2 linked regions of the Tamandua tetradactyla genome follow. Each later gene encodes a partner of the first gene's protein in a complex. Links are inferred from orthologs where the notes say so. Each region holds a gene or a part of one and is shown in the gene's direction. Other genes may lie near its edges.

Region 1 (7,736 bases):
AAAAAGTAAAAATTGAATATTAAACTATGCAGTTTTTTAAAATTAGGCAACGGTATAGAGAGAAATTAATTATGTAAATGGTCCTGACGTACTAAAATTTATCTTTTAGTCCCATTTTTATAAAAATGGCATAAAATATAATTAAAAAGTAGGATCTTTTTTAAATTAAAAAAAATTAAGAACAAAAACATTAACATATAATTCCGTTCTACATATATATTCAGTAATTCTCAATATCATCACATAGTTGCATATTCCTCGTTTCTTAGAACATTGGCATCCATTCAGAAAAAGAAACAAAAAGACAATAGAAAAATAAAATGAGCACAGGAAAGAAAAAAAAAAGATTATACCTACTATACCCCTTACCCCTCACTTTCATTGATCACAAGCATTTCAAACTAAATTTATCTTAGCATTTGTTCGCCCTATTATTTATTTTTATTCCATATGTTCTACTCCTCTGTTGACAAGGTAGATAAAAGGAGCATCAGACACAAGGTTTTCATAATCACACAGTCACATTGTGACAGCTGTATCATTATTCAATCATCCTCAAGAAACATGGCTACTGGAACACAGCTCTACATTTTCAGGCAGTTCCCTCCACCGGCTCCATTACATCTTGAATAACAAGATGATATCTACTTGATGCATAAGAGTAACCTCCAGGATAACCTCTCAACTCTGTTTGGAATCTCTCAGCCATTGCCACTTTGTCTCATTTCCCTCTTCCCCCTTTTGGTCAAGAAGGTTTTCTCAATCCCTTGATGCTGAGTCTCAGCTCACCCTAGGATCTCTGTCCCACGTTGCCATGAAGGTCCACACCCCTGGGAGTCATGTCCCACGTAGAGAGGGGTCGGGCGGTGAGTTGCTTGTTGTGTTGGCTGGAGAGAGAGGCCACATCTGAGCAACAAAAGAGGCTCTCTTGGGGGTGACTCTTAGGCCTAAATTTTAAGTAGACTTGACCTATCCTTTTCAGGGTTAAGCTTCATATGAACAAACCCCAAGACTGGGGGCTCAGCCTATAGCTTTGGTTGTCCATACTGCTTGTGAGAATATCAAGAATTCAACTTGGAGAAGTTGAATTTCTCCCCATTCTCACCATTCCCTGAAGGGGGCTTTGCAAATACTTCTCCACTTACTGATCGAATCGCTCTGGGATTCATCTGGGCATCTAAAAGTAGGATCTTTTGAAATAGCATGGATATATTAGAGCTAATACTGTTTGAAAAAGGAAAGAAGAAAAACATAAGTCATGTGAGTGTAGGGAGCTAGAAAAATAAGACAAAACTTAATACAGAGAAGGCTGAGTTTAATAAATGAGTGCTGAATCATTATGCTGATATTTCTTTTAGCCTCTAGTAGCTTAGAGCAGCTAAAAATCAAAACCTAAAATTGTAGAATTGGATCACATACCAAACTCTGAAATCTGTTCTACAACTAATTGTTATGATGTACTTTGAAATTTATTGCTTTTATGTACATATGTTATTTAAAGAGGAGGAACTGTAACCCATACCAAACTTTAAAATCTGTTCTATAACTACTTGTTAAAATGTACTGGGAAAGAGCAATCTGACAGTGAATAAAGAACTATTTGCAAAGTCTCCTTGGAGGGAATGGGGAGAAGGGGAAAAATTCAACTTCCCCATTTGGAGAATTCCTGATATTCTCGTTAGTGGGGACAACCAAATCAATAGCTTGAGCCCTCAATCTTGAGGTCTGCCCCAATGAAACTTATCCCTGCAAATGATAGGCTAAGTCTACTTAAAATTATGCCTAAAAGTCATCCCCAGAGAACCTATTTTGTTGCTCACATATGGCCTCTCTCTCTCTCTCTCTAGACAACATAGCAAGTGAATTCACTGCCCTCCCCACTCTAAGTGGGGCATGACTCCCAGGGGTATAAACCTCCCTCACAATGTGGGATAGAAATCCTGGGATGAGCTGGGACTCAGCATCAAGGGATTGAGAAAACCTTCTCAACCAAAAGGGGGGAAAAGAGAAATAGACAAAATAAAGTGTCAATGGCTGAGAGATTTCAAACAGAGTTGAGAAGTTATCCTGGAGGTTATTCTTACGCATTATATATATTAGAATGGCTAGAGGGAAGGACCTGAAACTGTAGAGTGTGTTCCAGTAGCCATGTTTCTTGAAGATGATTGTATAATGAAATAGTTTTTGCAATATGACTGTGTGGTTGTGAAAACCTTGTGTCTGATGCTCCTTTTATCAACGGTATGGACAGATGAGTAAAAAATATAGATAAAAAATAAACAAATAAGGGAAACAAAGGCTATAATAAAACTGAGTAGACTGAAACATTAGTTAGTGGTCAATAAGAGGGAAGAGTAAGAGGTATGGTATGTATGAGTTTTTTCTTTTATACTTCCTTAGATAGAGAGATGCAAATGTTCAAAAAAGTGATCATGGTGATAAATACCCATCTGTGGGATGATACTGTGAGCCACTGAATGTACACCATATATAGAATGCTTGCATGTCAAGAATGTTTGTACGTTTGTTTGCTGTGTACAATAAAAATATTTTTAAAAATGTACTTGGAAATATATTGCTTTTTTTTGTACATATATTTCACACACAAAAAAAAAGTTAAAAAAAAAATTTCAAGATGAGCCACCCTCGTCAGAACATAGATGCTACTATATACCGGCAGGCATAGGGTTTTTTTTGTTTGCTTCTGTTTTTGTTTTAGTTTTCAAAGCACTCTTCAATGAGGATAGATTCCAGAGTTTGTCATGGGCTACCATACCATCACCTCAGATTTTTCCTACTACTTGCTCCAGAACATTGGAGGCTAGAAGGAATATTTTTTTACCATCACAACTAACCTTTTCTGTGTGTGTGAAAAATAATACATAGCAAAAAAGCAATAAATTTCAAATCACATTGCCTCATTAGTTGTAGAACAGATTTCAGAGTTTGGTATGGGTTCACAGTTGTAAGTTTTTACTTCTAGCTGCTCTAAGATACTGGAGACTAAAAGAAATACCAACATAATGATTCGACAATCATACTTGTTTGTTAAACCCTACCTTCTCTATATAGTTCCACCATACCTTTGATCTTTCTCCCACTCTTTAGGGGTAATTTGGGCTACGTCCAGTGTAACTTTTTCATGTTGGAAGGGGCTGTCTATACTATGGGGTAGGGAGATGGGTGTAGCTGACATCCGGAGAGACTGGGGCCCTCTAGGTTTCAGGACTTATCTGGTCCAGGGATCCATCTGGAGGTTGCAGTTTTCTGGAAAGCTACCCTAGTACATGGAACCTTTGTAGAACCTTATATATTGCCCTAGGTGTTCTTTAGGATTGGCTGTAATAGTTTTGGTTGAGGTTTGGCAATTTATGACAGGCAGCAATGCCTAACTGAGGTTTGTTTAAGAATGAGTTCCAGAGTAGCCTCTGCACTTTATTTGAACTCTCTCAGCTATTGATACTGTATTTGTCACACTTCTTTTCCCCTTTTTGGTCAGGATGGCATTGTTGATCCCTCCACACCAGGGAGACACTCACCCCTGGACGTCATGACATAGGTTTTAACTCATTTTTCTGAGCAGTACTTCCAAGCCTACCCAGGAAGCACCACAGGAGCTTGAGATAGATTTCTCTTTGATGTTTGTTGTTGTTGTTGTTTTTTATTTTTATTTTTTTTAACAATTCCTTTACAATAGGTCTAACAATTTTATTCATCCTTGCAGTTCAGGATCCAGTATGCCTGGCATATATAGGTTGCATCCTGGAAATGTTTACTGAATTAAGCGGTGACCTAATGTGTAGGTACTATGGCGAAAGAGTGGTTTTAACTTCCAGGCACTCACTAGCTGTAAGACTTGGGACTAGCTGCCTAACCACGATGAGGTCAATTCCCTCGTCAGTAAAACGGAAATACTACTACTTGCCTTACCGACCTCGGTAGCTCCTTAAGTTGTTTTTAAAAAGTGGGCAGCAAAGAGCTCTGAGAAGGGGAAAGCGTTGCACACGAGGAGAAAGGAAGACCACTGATAAGCGTGAACGATGAGATGGAAAGACACGGTGAGATGGAAAAACCCTGGGGCTGTTATGCAGTACGTGGGACCGACCGGCTGCGCGACCCCGAGAAGACCACGCCTCTCTGTTTTCCCACCTTGGAAGACGTAGAGATCGCGACGCAATGGCAGTCAAGGCCCTACGCTCTAAGTCCTTCAGTCCGCTACAGGCTCGGGACCTCGGGTATCCTCAGAAAGATGAACCCCGGGGCTCCCAGACGCGCTCGCTGGGGTAGGGAAAGTCAAGGTCGCGGGTGCCAGGCGGGGGTCGCTCACCCAGTCAAAGTCACAAGGGTTACCATCTTCGCGTTGCGTAGGGAGGCCGCTGCATACTGGCGGGAGCTTCCTCACGAGTAGGAAGGCGGCAGAAAGCAGGGCTGACAGAAGGTAGTAGGGTCGGGCCAGCCATCGTGAAAGTCGCGGCACCGAATACACCAGAGCAATTAAAGGTGCGAGGACCGCCATCTTCCCGGCCCTTGCGGCGCCCGCCGCTCACCGGCCGTGGTAGGTTTGGTCCCGGCTCCCCTCTCCTTGGTACTTCCATTGGGCCGAGTTCCGGATGCGCCGCCCCTTGACCCGGAAGTAGGTCCAGATTGGCTTCTATGGCGCATAAAAGGCGATGTGAGCCACTATTGGCCAATCTGGCAATCCCTCTTCCTACCTAAGTCGTTTTACTGGATCTGAAACTGTAACCAGTGGAGCTATCAGAAAATTTAATAAGGTTAGCTAGCACTTCCCGAACGTTCCGTGAAAGCGACGGAAGTGGTCGCCGGAAGAAGGCAGGCGGGCACAGAGGCATCCAGTGCTAAGCGGCTCCGAGAGTCGGAGGGCGTTTCCCGAGGCGCCGCTGGGGCCATGGAGAATTTCACGGCGCTGTTCGGAGCTCAGGCTGATCCACCACCACCCCCATCCGCGCTCGGATACGGACCCGGAAAGCCTCCACCCCCGCCTCCGCCCCCTCCGGGAGGGGGACCCGGTACCGTTCCGCCCCCTACGGCGGCTACGGCCCCTCCCGGCGCCGACAAGTCAGGGGCTGGTTGTGGCCCCTTTTACCTGATGCGGGAACTGCCAGGTGGGTGCTAGGCATGGCCGAAACCAGCCAATCAGATCATAGAGAGCGTAGTGGGCGTGCCTGTCAGCTGGCTGGTGCCAGGTAACCGAGGAATCGCGTACCCTGACAGTGGAGCTCAAAGCCGAAAGATCTCTGAGGATCAGCCCCCAAAGCGATGGCATGGATTCATGGGATGGGGAAAGGGGGTTGTATCTTCCACGCCACATCCGGCCTGTGTCCCTGACACTAGTTTATGTTTCCCTAAAAATGGCCCAGGGTTTGAGTTTGTATCTGGAGAGGCCTGATTTAACATCCCAGGAAACCTAAGTTTTCAGTTTCAAGTCGGCTACAATCTTGTTGGTTTGGGGTAAGTTGATTTCCTTCCTAGGGCCTCGGCATTTCTTCAGCTGTGCGAAGAAGGGTTTGGAATTGAACCAGATTCTTTTAATGCAAAATTTTATTTTGTTGAGCACCCTACTGTGTACCAAGCACTTTTCTAAATGCTGAGGCTACAGCTGTGAACAAGACTGACAAAATCCTTACGTTTTTGAAGTTTACATTTCAGTGGGTAGACACATAAGTGAAATAATATAGTTAGTGATTAATGCCAGGAGGAGAAAATATGATAAAGAATGGAACAGGAGGAACTACTTTAGCTAGCGTGATCAGAGAAGTGCTCTCTGAGTAGATAAGATTGGAACGAAAATCAGCATGGAGAAAGGATAAGCCCTGCATGTGTGGAGAGAGGGGATAATTTTAAAAACATGGTATGAAAGCTAAATCTCTGATGTGAGAAAGATTTGGACTAGCAGAAGACAAATTGGGCCCAGTTAAGTGAACAAGGAGAATAGTGGTAGGAAGTGAAAGTGGGAGAGGTAGGCAGAGGCCTTTACACCATAATGTAAGATTTTAAGTTCTAGGGGATGCCGTTGTGGATTTTAACACAAGGGAATGTCATGATCTAATGTATTTCTTTTTAAATCACTTAAGCAGTCATGTGAAGAATGGAAAGTGGGGAAGAGTTGATGGTTTAGACTAGAGCTAGGGCAGTAGAGGATAGAAGTGAATAGCAGCAGAATAAATTTTAAAGGTAGCGCTAACAAAAGATGGATTTAAGTAAGAAATTGATAATGACTTCTAAGTTTTTAGCTTGAATAACTGGATATATGGTAGTGCTGAGACTGGTTGGAGGGTTTTGAAATAAAGTCTTTTTGGACATAAGTGTCTGAGAAGCTTTTTTGTTCAGCCCAGGTCCTACTACCACATTATAGTTGAGGGAGATGATAATAACAATTATCAGTGCAGTACTTTATGCTATAACATTTAATATAGAACAGTCCCTTGACTGTTATCAGCATTTTATAGTTGAAAAACTAAAGCTTAGAGAGGTGAGCCTCCAGCAGTTTCTTTCATCTTTCCTTTGTCTTACTCATTTTGACTGTACCTATATATACATCAATGAGTGGACAGATACGAAACTTCTATTCTGGGAAACTACTGGGTATGTGGTAATGACAGCATGTGGTGGGAAAGGGAGAAAAAGTAGTATGTCTGGTCCTTGTTTTTAAGGAGATTTTTTTAGTTGTAGATGTGAAATATGTGGTTTAGGGATAAAGTAAGGGAGTGTATTTCTAGTCAAAGCCAATCTCATTACTTTGTGGTCAAATTTCACATATATAGCAACTAAAAATAATACCATTGCAAACGATATTGAGAACTACATGAAGGTTTTCAAAATGTGTTCCTTATCATCCACAGTGAGAGCAACAGTAAAATGTGACTTGAGATGGACCATGAAGAATTCATATTGGTGAAGAAAATTGGGAAGAAATTTCCTAAAAGGAAACACTATGAGGGGTGGGTTTTTCTTTTCAGGAGATGATAGAGACTTATCTTGTTGACTGAAAAATCTTGCATAGGCGAGTAGTGATAAGGCCTCAAAGATAAATTGGGATAAGATGCACTTAGTCGTCAGTGCCAAAGAAATTTAACCTTTTCCCTGAAGGTAATAGGAAACCACTGAGATTTTTGAACTGAGGAATACAGCTTTTTAAAAATGTCTAGAAACCTTGAGATTTTGTTGGTTTGTCCAGAGTGATGCCCCGATAAATCCCAAAGTGATTTGAACAGTGAATAAAAAAGTATTTGCAAAGTCCCCTTGGGGGAATGGTGAGAAAGGGGGAAAATTCAACTTCCCCAAGTTGAATTCTTGATATCTCACAAGCAGTGGGGACAACCAAAGCAATAGGCTGAGCCCCCGATCTTGGGGTTTGTTCATATGAAAATTAACCCCACGAAGGATAGGTCAAGCCTACCTAAAATTAGGCCTAAGAGTCACCCCCAAGAGATCCTCTTCTGTTGCTCAAATGTGGCCTCTCTCTCCAGCCAACACAACAAACAAACTCACCGCCCTCCCCATCTCTACGTGGGACATGACTCCCAGGGGTGTGGACCTTCCTGGCAACGTGGGACAGAATGAGCTGAGACTCAGCATCAAGGGATTGAAAAAACCTTCTCGACCAAAAGGGAGAAGAGTGAAATGAGGCAAAATAAAGTGTCAATGGCTGAGAGATTCCAAACAGAGTCAAGAGCTTATCCTGGAGGTTATTCTTACACATTAAATAGATACCACCT
Region 2 (7,696 bases), on another chromosome or scaffold:
CCATGTAGGAACTCACTCCACGGATGATTTTGGATGACCGGGATCTCATAATCAATGAACAGAGACCCTTTGGCAAACATTTCTCTAACCTTGAGAGAAAATAACAAACAAGATCAAGACGCTGCACTGGAAAGCAAAGATTGGTTCTAAATACCGTAGGATCAGTGATCAGATGCTCTGCTCCTCAGCACTTCAGGACACGCTCTAAGTCCTTTGATCAATGATACGCTAAAGATGAAGAGAACAAGGTTACATGTTAGGGTTCTGACAGAACTACTGATGATCATCTAAATGAAGTGTCACACTTGGAAGAAGGTATGGCAAAAACTATAGATTGGCTTACTCAGCACCAATTCCTAATCACATTCTTTCCCATGGAAGCTAGAAAGCTTGATTTTCCTAGCCTCCCTTGTAGCTAAGGGTAGTCTTATGATCCAGTTCTAGCCAATGAGATTTAAACAGTAAATAAGGCAAAGCCTTGCTAGGAGAAAATCCTTGGCTCCTTCCCTCATCCCTTTTGTCTATTTTGAATGCAGAGGTGAGAACTGGAGATAAACAGAAGTATCTCGTAATCATAAGGTAGTAAATCTTAAGGCAAAAGCTAATGAACTAGGGATGGTAAAACTGAAAAATATGAACAGGTTGGATCCACAAAAGCATTTTGGGATGAGACACTAGCCTAGATGGTCTATCTCAGGCTTCTTATTGTGTGAGACAAATGAATTCCTATTTATTTCAGCCACTTTGGGGCAGGTCTTCTGTTATTTGTAGCCATATGATTCTAACAGACAGATAAGTGCTTACAGAAGCTGTTGGTGCGATAAGCAGAGAGGAAAAAGGTTGTTCATTTAAAGACTGAGGAGGTGATGGTGAAAAGGCCAAGTCAAGTATCCAGGGCCTGGATACCTGTGCTAGCCATGCTGAGGTGGGAAACAGAAATAATAGAGGAACAGGAATCCTAGTAAATTTAGATGAGAACTTCAGTAAAATTCCTTGCTGGTTAGACTCTCGATTCTCCTCATGGCTTGTGTGGCCTGGGGAAAGAGTATTTGATTAATGGTATCTTGCATTTCAAGTATTTTCAACAGCATAGCAAAGACATGCTGAATTTTGCAAGCTGCCCTTAGCTTATAAACAAATGAGTGAATTCTGAGGAGAATGAGGACTGACTCCTTCCTTAGAAGGATTTTTACTTGCATAGTTTTTCAAACTAACCTGGTTGGAAATAACTGAAGGGAAATCACAATTATTATCTTCTGCAATAAATCCGAAGGATTATTAGATCAAGCCATTACAAACTTTCTTGGCTAAGCATGGAGGGAGAGTATTGCTCTTTGCTCTTTATTCTACCCACATGGTGCCACATCACAAATACAACAGCATCCTTGTTTCTGTGGAGCTTCCAAAAGAGGACAATATGAGGAGGAAGACACACAGTATGGGTAACACACACTTAAAATATATAGCAGGTACATTAAAAATCATCACAAAAAAGACATATGCTTCTTCAACTTACAGGATAATTTTAAAGCTGGAGAACTTGCTGTAAAAAACAGCATGTATGGTCAATATACTGTCACATCCTTTTCCTTCCCCATGTCTCACCTTTTTTGATACTTTCTGCCCTGTATGTCATTTTGGATTTCAGCTTTGAAACATGAATAAATGAATTTGGGAGGAAGAGACTTAGAAGAAACACTTATGAAATAAGAATAGCGAAAATAAAGAAGGTATTGGATCCCATATCCTTCCAAGAAAAACAATCATCTAGTAACCAGAATCTGGCTTTTTCACAGCAGCCTTCTTTGCTATGGGGGCTGGGGCTGTCCTGTGCATCGTAGGATGTCTAACTGCATCTCTGACTACTAGATGCACCCCACTCCTTCAGTTATTGACTAACTGTTTCTAGACATGGATAAATGTCTTCTGAGGAACAAAACCACTCACAGTTGAGAGCCACCATCCTATATCCACTCTACACACAGAAGCCAGAAGGCTCTTTTAATAATGTAAATTGCATTATGCCACTGTCCTGCTGAAACCCTTCAATGTCTTCCCAATAACCTTGGAAGAAAATCTATGGCTTCCCTGGCAACGTGGGATATGACTCTCAGGGATGGGCCTAGTCCTGGCACCATGGGATTGACAATGCCTTCCTGACCAAAAGGGGGAAAGATTTGTAACAAATAAGGTATCAGTGGCTGAGATGGTTCAAATAGATTCCAGAGGCTACCCTGGAGGCTATTCTTACACAGGCTTCAGCTAGATATTGCTATTTATCATGGTTCGTTAAACCCCAATCAAACCATTACTGCCAATCCTAAAGAACACTTAGGGCTTTATCTGAGATTCTACAAAGGTTCCATGCAGTACGATTATTTTCCAGAAATCTACAACCTCCAAATAGGTTCCTAGGCCAGAGAAGTCCTAAAACCTAGAGGGCCAGCCTTTCCAAGAACAACTAGTTTCATCCCCCTATCCCATACTGTCAACACTCCTTTCCAATATGAAAAAGTTAGAATACGCATAACCCAAAACCCCTAAAGATTTGGAGAAGATCAGAGGAGGAGGAGGAGTTATAACAGAGACAATAGGATTTAACAAATGAGTATGACTGCTGAATCATTATATTGATATTTCTTTTAGTCTCCAGTGTCTTGTAGTAGCTAGAAGGCAAAACCTAAAATTGTGGAACTATAACCCATATCAAACTCTGAAATCTGTTCTATGACTAATTGGTGCAGCATGCTTTGAAATTTATTGCTTTTTTCTATATGTTATATTTCACAATATAAGAAAAAAAAATCCATGGTTCACAGAACCCTACTTCTCTAAATTCATCAATCTTCCATGCCACCGTTCCCCATGCTTACTAAGCTCCAGATACACATTCTTTTTGTTCTCTAAACATGCCAAGATTGTTTTCACCCAATGTTTTGCACTTGCTGTTCCCTCTGCCATAAGAATGCATTCTCTCCAGTCTCTGTAGGGCTCACTGTTCACCCATACAAATCTCAAATGTTGAGTCCTCTGCAAAGCCTTCCTTGACCATCCAACCTAAAGGACACTCTTACTCTCATTCCGTAGCCCACTACTCATTTATTTCCTTCATGGTGCTAATCAAAACAGAAAACTGTCTTTAATCATAGGTTTGTTGTCTGACTCTTCACCAGCATGTAAACTCCACGAGAAGCTTGTCTGTCTTGTTCAGTGCTACTACCCAAGTGCTTAGTATAATGCCTGGCATGGAAGTACTCAATACATATTCCTCCCTTTCACTTTCCTCGAATCTGGATCAAGTTTCAATGACCTCTCACTTTACCTTCTAAGATCATTCTTGAATTTTTACTGGTGCCTACTTTCATTTTTTTTTAATATGCTGTATGGGGGATCATATTTCATACTTTTTCCTTATGAGTATTCAGTTATTACAGCACCATTTGTTGAAAAAAAGAATTTTTGGGGGGTGGGGGGAGTGCACGGGCTGAGACCTGCATGGTAGGCGAGAATTCTACCACTGAACTATCCTGGCACTCCACCCCTTACCTTCGATTTTTAATACATTTTGACCTATATGGGTATGGTACCATGAACAAGAACTTAGTATAAAAAAATAATTAATCACTTATTCGGAAACATAAACAAAGGCTAATAAAAAAAAGGCTAATCAATTCATTTATGCGAGTCTGTTTCTCATCCTCAGGTTTTTAACAGGCATATAATGCTTCCACTAGTCATGATTTCAGTTCGGTCCCTTGTTCTGTATTTGAAGCTATGAAGGTCATTATCACTGAGTATGAATGTAAAACTCACCTGGCTTGGTAGCTCAAACCGCCTCTTTGTCCATTCAGTCCAATTAATACAGTGTCATAGGTCTGACAACTTCTTGTGCTGGCTTCAAGTTAAAATAGTTCACTGGGTCAAAAGCAGAAAGGTCCACAGTCAATAAATGTTGGCCAAGGCCAGAAACTGCAGTCTGCCTACTGCTGACGTTGATTTATGGGCTGTTTCATGAAAACAAGGATGATTGTTCACTTGGCAACTGAGTAGCTGGAACCCGGAGGCAATTCTGCTATGGCTACGCGCCATGGCCTCTTCATGTGGCCTTTGGTAGGCATTTCATCGCGTCATTTTTACATTCTGGCTGGCTGCCGGCTGGTCCCGCCGGGGAAGACTCTCTCCACGGTGCAGAGACGTCTCCATCCGCATAGACGAGGCCCTGACCTGACGGGAGGACGTTTCCGTGCGCTGTGAAGTGGTTTCCACATGCTGGGAGGCCACCTCCAGGAAGCAAAGAAGCCGTTTCCCAGAGGGGGAAAAGGTGGGTTCCTCGCTGTGACGCTGGCAGGTCTCCACCTGATGGGAAGACGTTCGCACCTGCCGAGAGGATGCCTCCACGCAGTGGGACGATGTCTCCACGTGGACCGTCGACGTCTCCTTGTAGCCGGCGGTCTCCACTCGGGGCTTTCCCCGATGGGGCGAGGCCATTCGAGGGTGTACTGCGGGCCAAGGAGGCCTCGGGAGGCCCCCCAGCCCAGTGAGTTCCCTCAGTTACGTCGGTGTGCTACGTCACAGGGCCCCATGGTAAGGAATGGCGTCATAATGACGTGTTACATCATCGCAGGCACAGTGGTGAAAGGTTACGTTATTGTCACAGGCGAGAATACATGACCCGATGACGCGGGAGCACGACAGTCCTGTGCGGGGCTGAGATTTCCCTTCAAAACCGTGGGCCCTCCCCCTCAGACGCTCCGTCAGGGGAGGCGGGGCGGGCTTCAGCTGGCTGGTGCACCTGCTCCCCGGCCTGGGAGACCTTGCGGGGGCGGGGCCGGGGCGGGGCAGGGATGGGCGGGGCCGCCCGCCTCCGAGCGAGGCTCCGCCCGCCCTGTATCCCACGCTGCCCCGGGACGGGAAGCTGAAGCGGTGACTTCCGGAGTCTGCCCTGCTGTTCTGGCCGGTTGCTTTGTTTGAGTAGTGGCTGTTTAGTGGCTTTGCTTGCAATGGCCGCTGCTGTCGCTATGGAGACTGGTAAGTGGCGCTCTGAGCATCGAGTCTTCGCAAATAGGACACTGTCCCGCTGGGCCTCCTGCCAGGCCTTTCACCCCCGGAAGGATTTAAGTTCTGACCAGAAGGGGCAATGGCCCTTGTAGCATCTAGGAAGGTCAAGGCGATGTTGCTTTTTCAGAGTTTCGTTTGTTCGCAAATCTTTTCTCCTTACTTCTCATCTAAGCAGCGACCCTCCAGCCTTCTAGGCGTGGGCGAAGCTAAGGAAGAGGGCTTATATCTTAGTCTCTTGATTAGTTTTCTAAGTCTCAAGTTTGCATAAGTTTGGAATATCGTCAACACACGTGTATTTTGCTGTTGTTGCTTCTCACATATGCACATGCTCGTGAACTTTCACATTCCGTAGTTTCTTTTTCAGCTTGCATTCTGATTTTTTCTTTATTAATTTAGCTTTTTAATTAGCTGTTTACAATTATTGTTATAGCGTATTATTAAAATAAGAAGAGGCAGGTTTACAACCTACCCTGATGATCCCTGTTATAATCCTTACATAGTGGCTCCTCAGGTGGTAGTTATCCTGCCCCTTGTGCATTGTTTTCTTTGCTAATTTCGCTTTCACTTTGGAAAAATTCCAAACTTAATTAGGGCTGTAGTTTTCTTAGACTTCTAAGGAAGCTATATCTCCTCCATCATCCAGTTTGAGAAAACCATCACACGCCCTTCTTTATACAGAAATGTATCTCAGTATTAGTCAGGTATCTTTACTGCTGTTTTCCCCCCCTACAATTCAGTATTATATATAGTGAGTTTTTTGGGGGTGATTTTTGCTGTCTTCTCTCCTAGATGATGCTGGAAATCGACTTCGTTTTCAGCTGGAGTTGGAATTTGTGCAATGTTTAGCCAACCCAAATTACCTTAATTGTAAGTTGTTGAGCACCTCATTAAATTGAGTAGCTGATATTAATGATTTCTGACAGAAAAGTTGCAATTCATAGATTTATTTTTATACATTCTCAACATAAGTAGGATTACTGATATACTCCTATATTGATACAATTAAGCAAACTGGAACTTGTGTTTTGAATTCAGTGTATGTTGGTGGAGATGTTATGTAAATAGAATTCTTTATGTCAGGGGTCACAAACCAGTGGTCCAAGGATTGGTTTGACCTACATATGTATTTTTTTTTTTTTATGCCTTTCAGTTCTTGCCCAAAGAGGTTACTTCAAAGACAAAGCTTTTGTTAATTATCTTAAGTACTTGCTTTACTGGAAAGAACCAGAGTATGCCAAGTATCTAAAGTAAGTTTAATTTTTATAATCCTAAATAAGTGTGTATATATTTTACTATACTCCAAGACACTGATATTTAACAGACTTCTTCATTTCACATTGGAAAAAACATATTTTGCATTTTCCACTTCTTTTAGTGGCAATCATCTTAATAGAAAACACCCTCATCTCTAAAACTTGGATTGCTTTCCAATTATCCCTGCTTCCATTCTTCCTTCCTTCCACCCCAAATCAAACAAAGCAAAACGTGTTTTCTCCATAGAAGCCAACTTGATTTCTTAAAAATGTAAATTGGAACGTGTTGTTTTCTTGTTTAAAACCTTTCAGTGGCATTCTGTTGCTTGCAGAATAAACTACATTCTCATTTTTTGACTTATGATCTTATGTTATCTGGCCTCATCTTGTCTGACCTTACCTTGGAATACTCACTCCATTTCCCTGGGTTTCTGATCCCACAGAACACACAATCTGTAAATCCAATGATATAGCTATAGGTTGAAAATTAAAGAACACAGGAAGGGGCATTTGTGGGGGTTTCCTGGAAGAGGTAACCTTACCTATTAGGGCCTGCCATATGCCAAGGGCTTTGCTAAGTGCTTCATGTCCATGATCTCATTAATATACGTATATAATACATACACATCTAATTTATTGACCAATCAGGTTGAGCAGCAGACACTTTTGGCATATCATAACCACAAATCTGTTCCCTTTCAATGGTAAAAAATAAATCTTGAATTCACACCTCTGCTTTTTCTCAGCCATGTAACCAAAAAGCAATAGTGAAAGATTTTTCTTTTTTAAATAAATACAAGTTTGAAAGGAAAGTATTTCATACTTACTCCTTATCCCCAAGTCACTTTTCTGATGTGTGCCCAATAACAGCTAATTCATGGAGTGTAAGTCCTCCAACTGCCTTTGGGACTCTGTGTACCTTACTTCCTCTTCATAATCAATTGTTTATTTAATACTCCAAAGAAAATACTTTTTAATTAGATTGCAACATGTTGTATGTCCGTACATCTACAGACTCAGTGTTGGGAGAAGCCTTATACACCATCAAGTACAATCTCACCTGCAACATTACTGAGAAATCATCTGAACTCTGGCGAGTTCCAGTGGTACTTCACAAAGAGGCAGTCAGTTCCTTGTTGGCCAGATACAATTGTTAGAAAGTTCTTCCTTATATTGAGTAAAATATACCTACATGTAGCTTCAACACATTATTCCCAATTTTGTGCCTGGATTATTCCTGGACCCAGTCTATGCCCTCCTGAGACTTGTACTTCAGATATTTAAATTCAGGAGAGGTTGCACATTGACTCCTGTTGAATATTTCATTCAGTCTGCATAAGGTTTTAACCTTTAAAGAATTGTCAGTATTTAAAATTGGAGGCTTG

What was found. Proteins that work in one complex are often made in the same cells at the same time.
Region 2: MED19 (region 1) and MED31 share a complex: the UniProt entries of both Homo sapiens proteins name them as parts of the mediator complex. The link is inferred for Tamandua tetradactyla from reciprocal best matches to the Homo sapiens genes MED19 and MED31.

The regions. Positions count from the first base shown.
Region 1 is NC_135335.1:19,872,521-19,880,256, forward strand, and holds the start of MED19 (mediator of RNA polymerase II transcription subunit 19), read left to right. Parts: upstream 1-4,690; 5' UTR 4,691-4,906; coding exon 4,907-5,123; exon of another isoform or gene 5,124-5,216; intron 5,217-7,736. Other genes in the region: TMX2 (thioredoxin-related transmembrane protein 2), read right to left, coding at 4,328-4,516. UniProt on the Homo sapiens protein: Component of the Mediator complex, a coactivator involved in the regulated transcription of nearly all RNA polymerase II-dependent genes.
Region 2 is NC_135332.1:58,835,563-58,843,258, forward strand, and holds the start of MED31 (mediator of RNA polymerase II transcription subunit 31), read left to right. Parts: upstream 1-4,636; 5' UTR 4,637-5,000; coding exon 5,001-5,028; intron 5,029-5,847; coding exon 5,848-5,925; intron 5,926-6,208; coding exon 6,209-6,305; intron 6,306-7,696. Other genes in the region: C6H17orf100 (uncharacterized protein C17orf100 homolog), read right to left, coding at 4,120-4,488. UniProt on the Homo sapiens protein: Component of the Mediator complex, a coactivator involved in the regulated transcription of nearly all RNA polymerase II-dependent genes.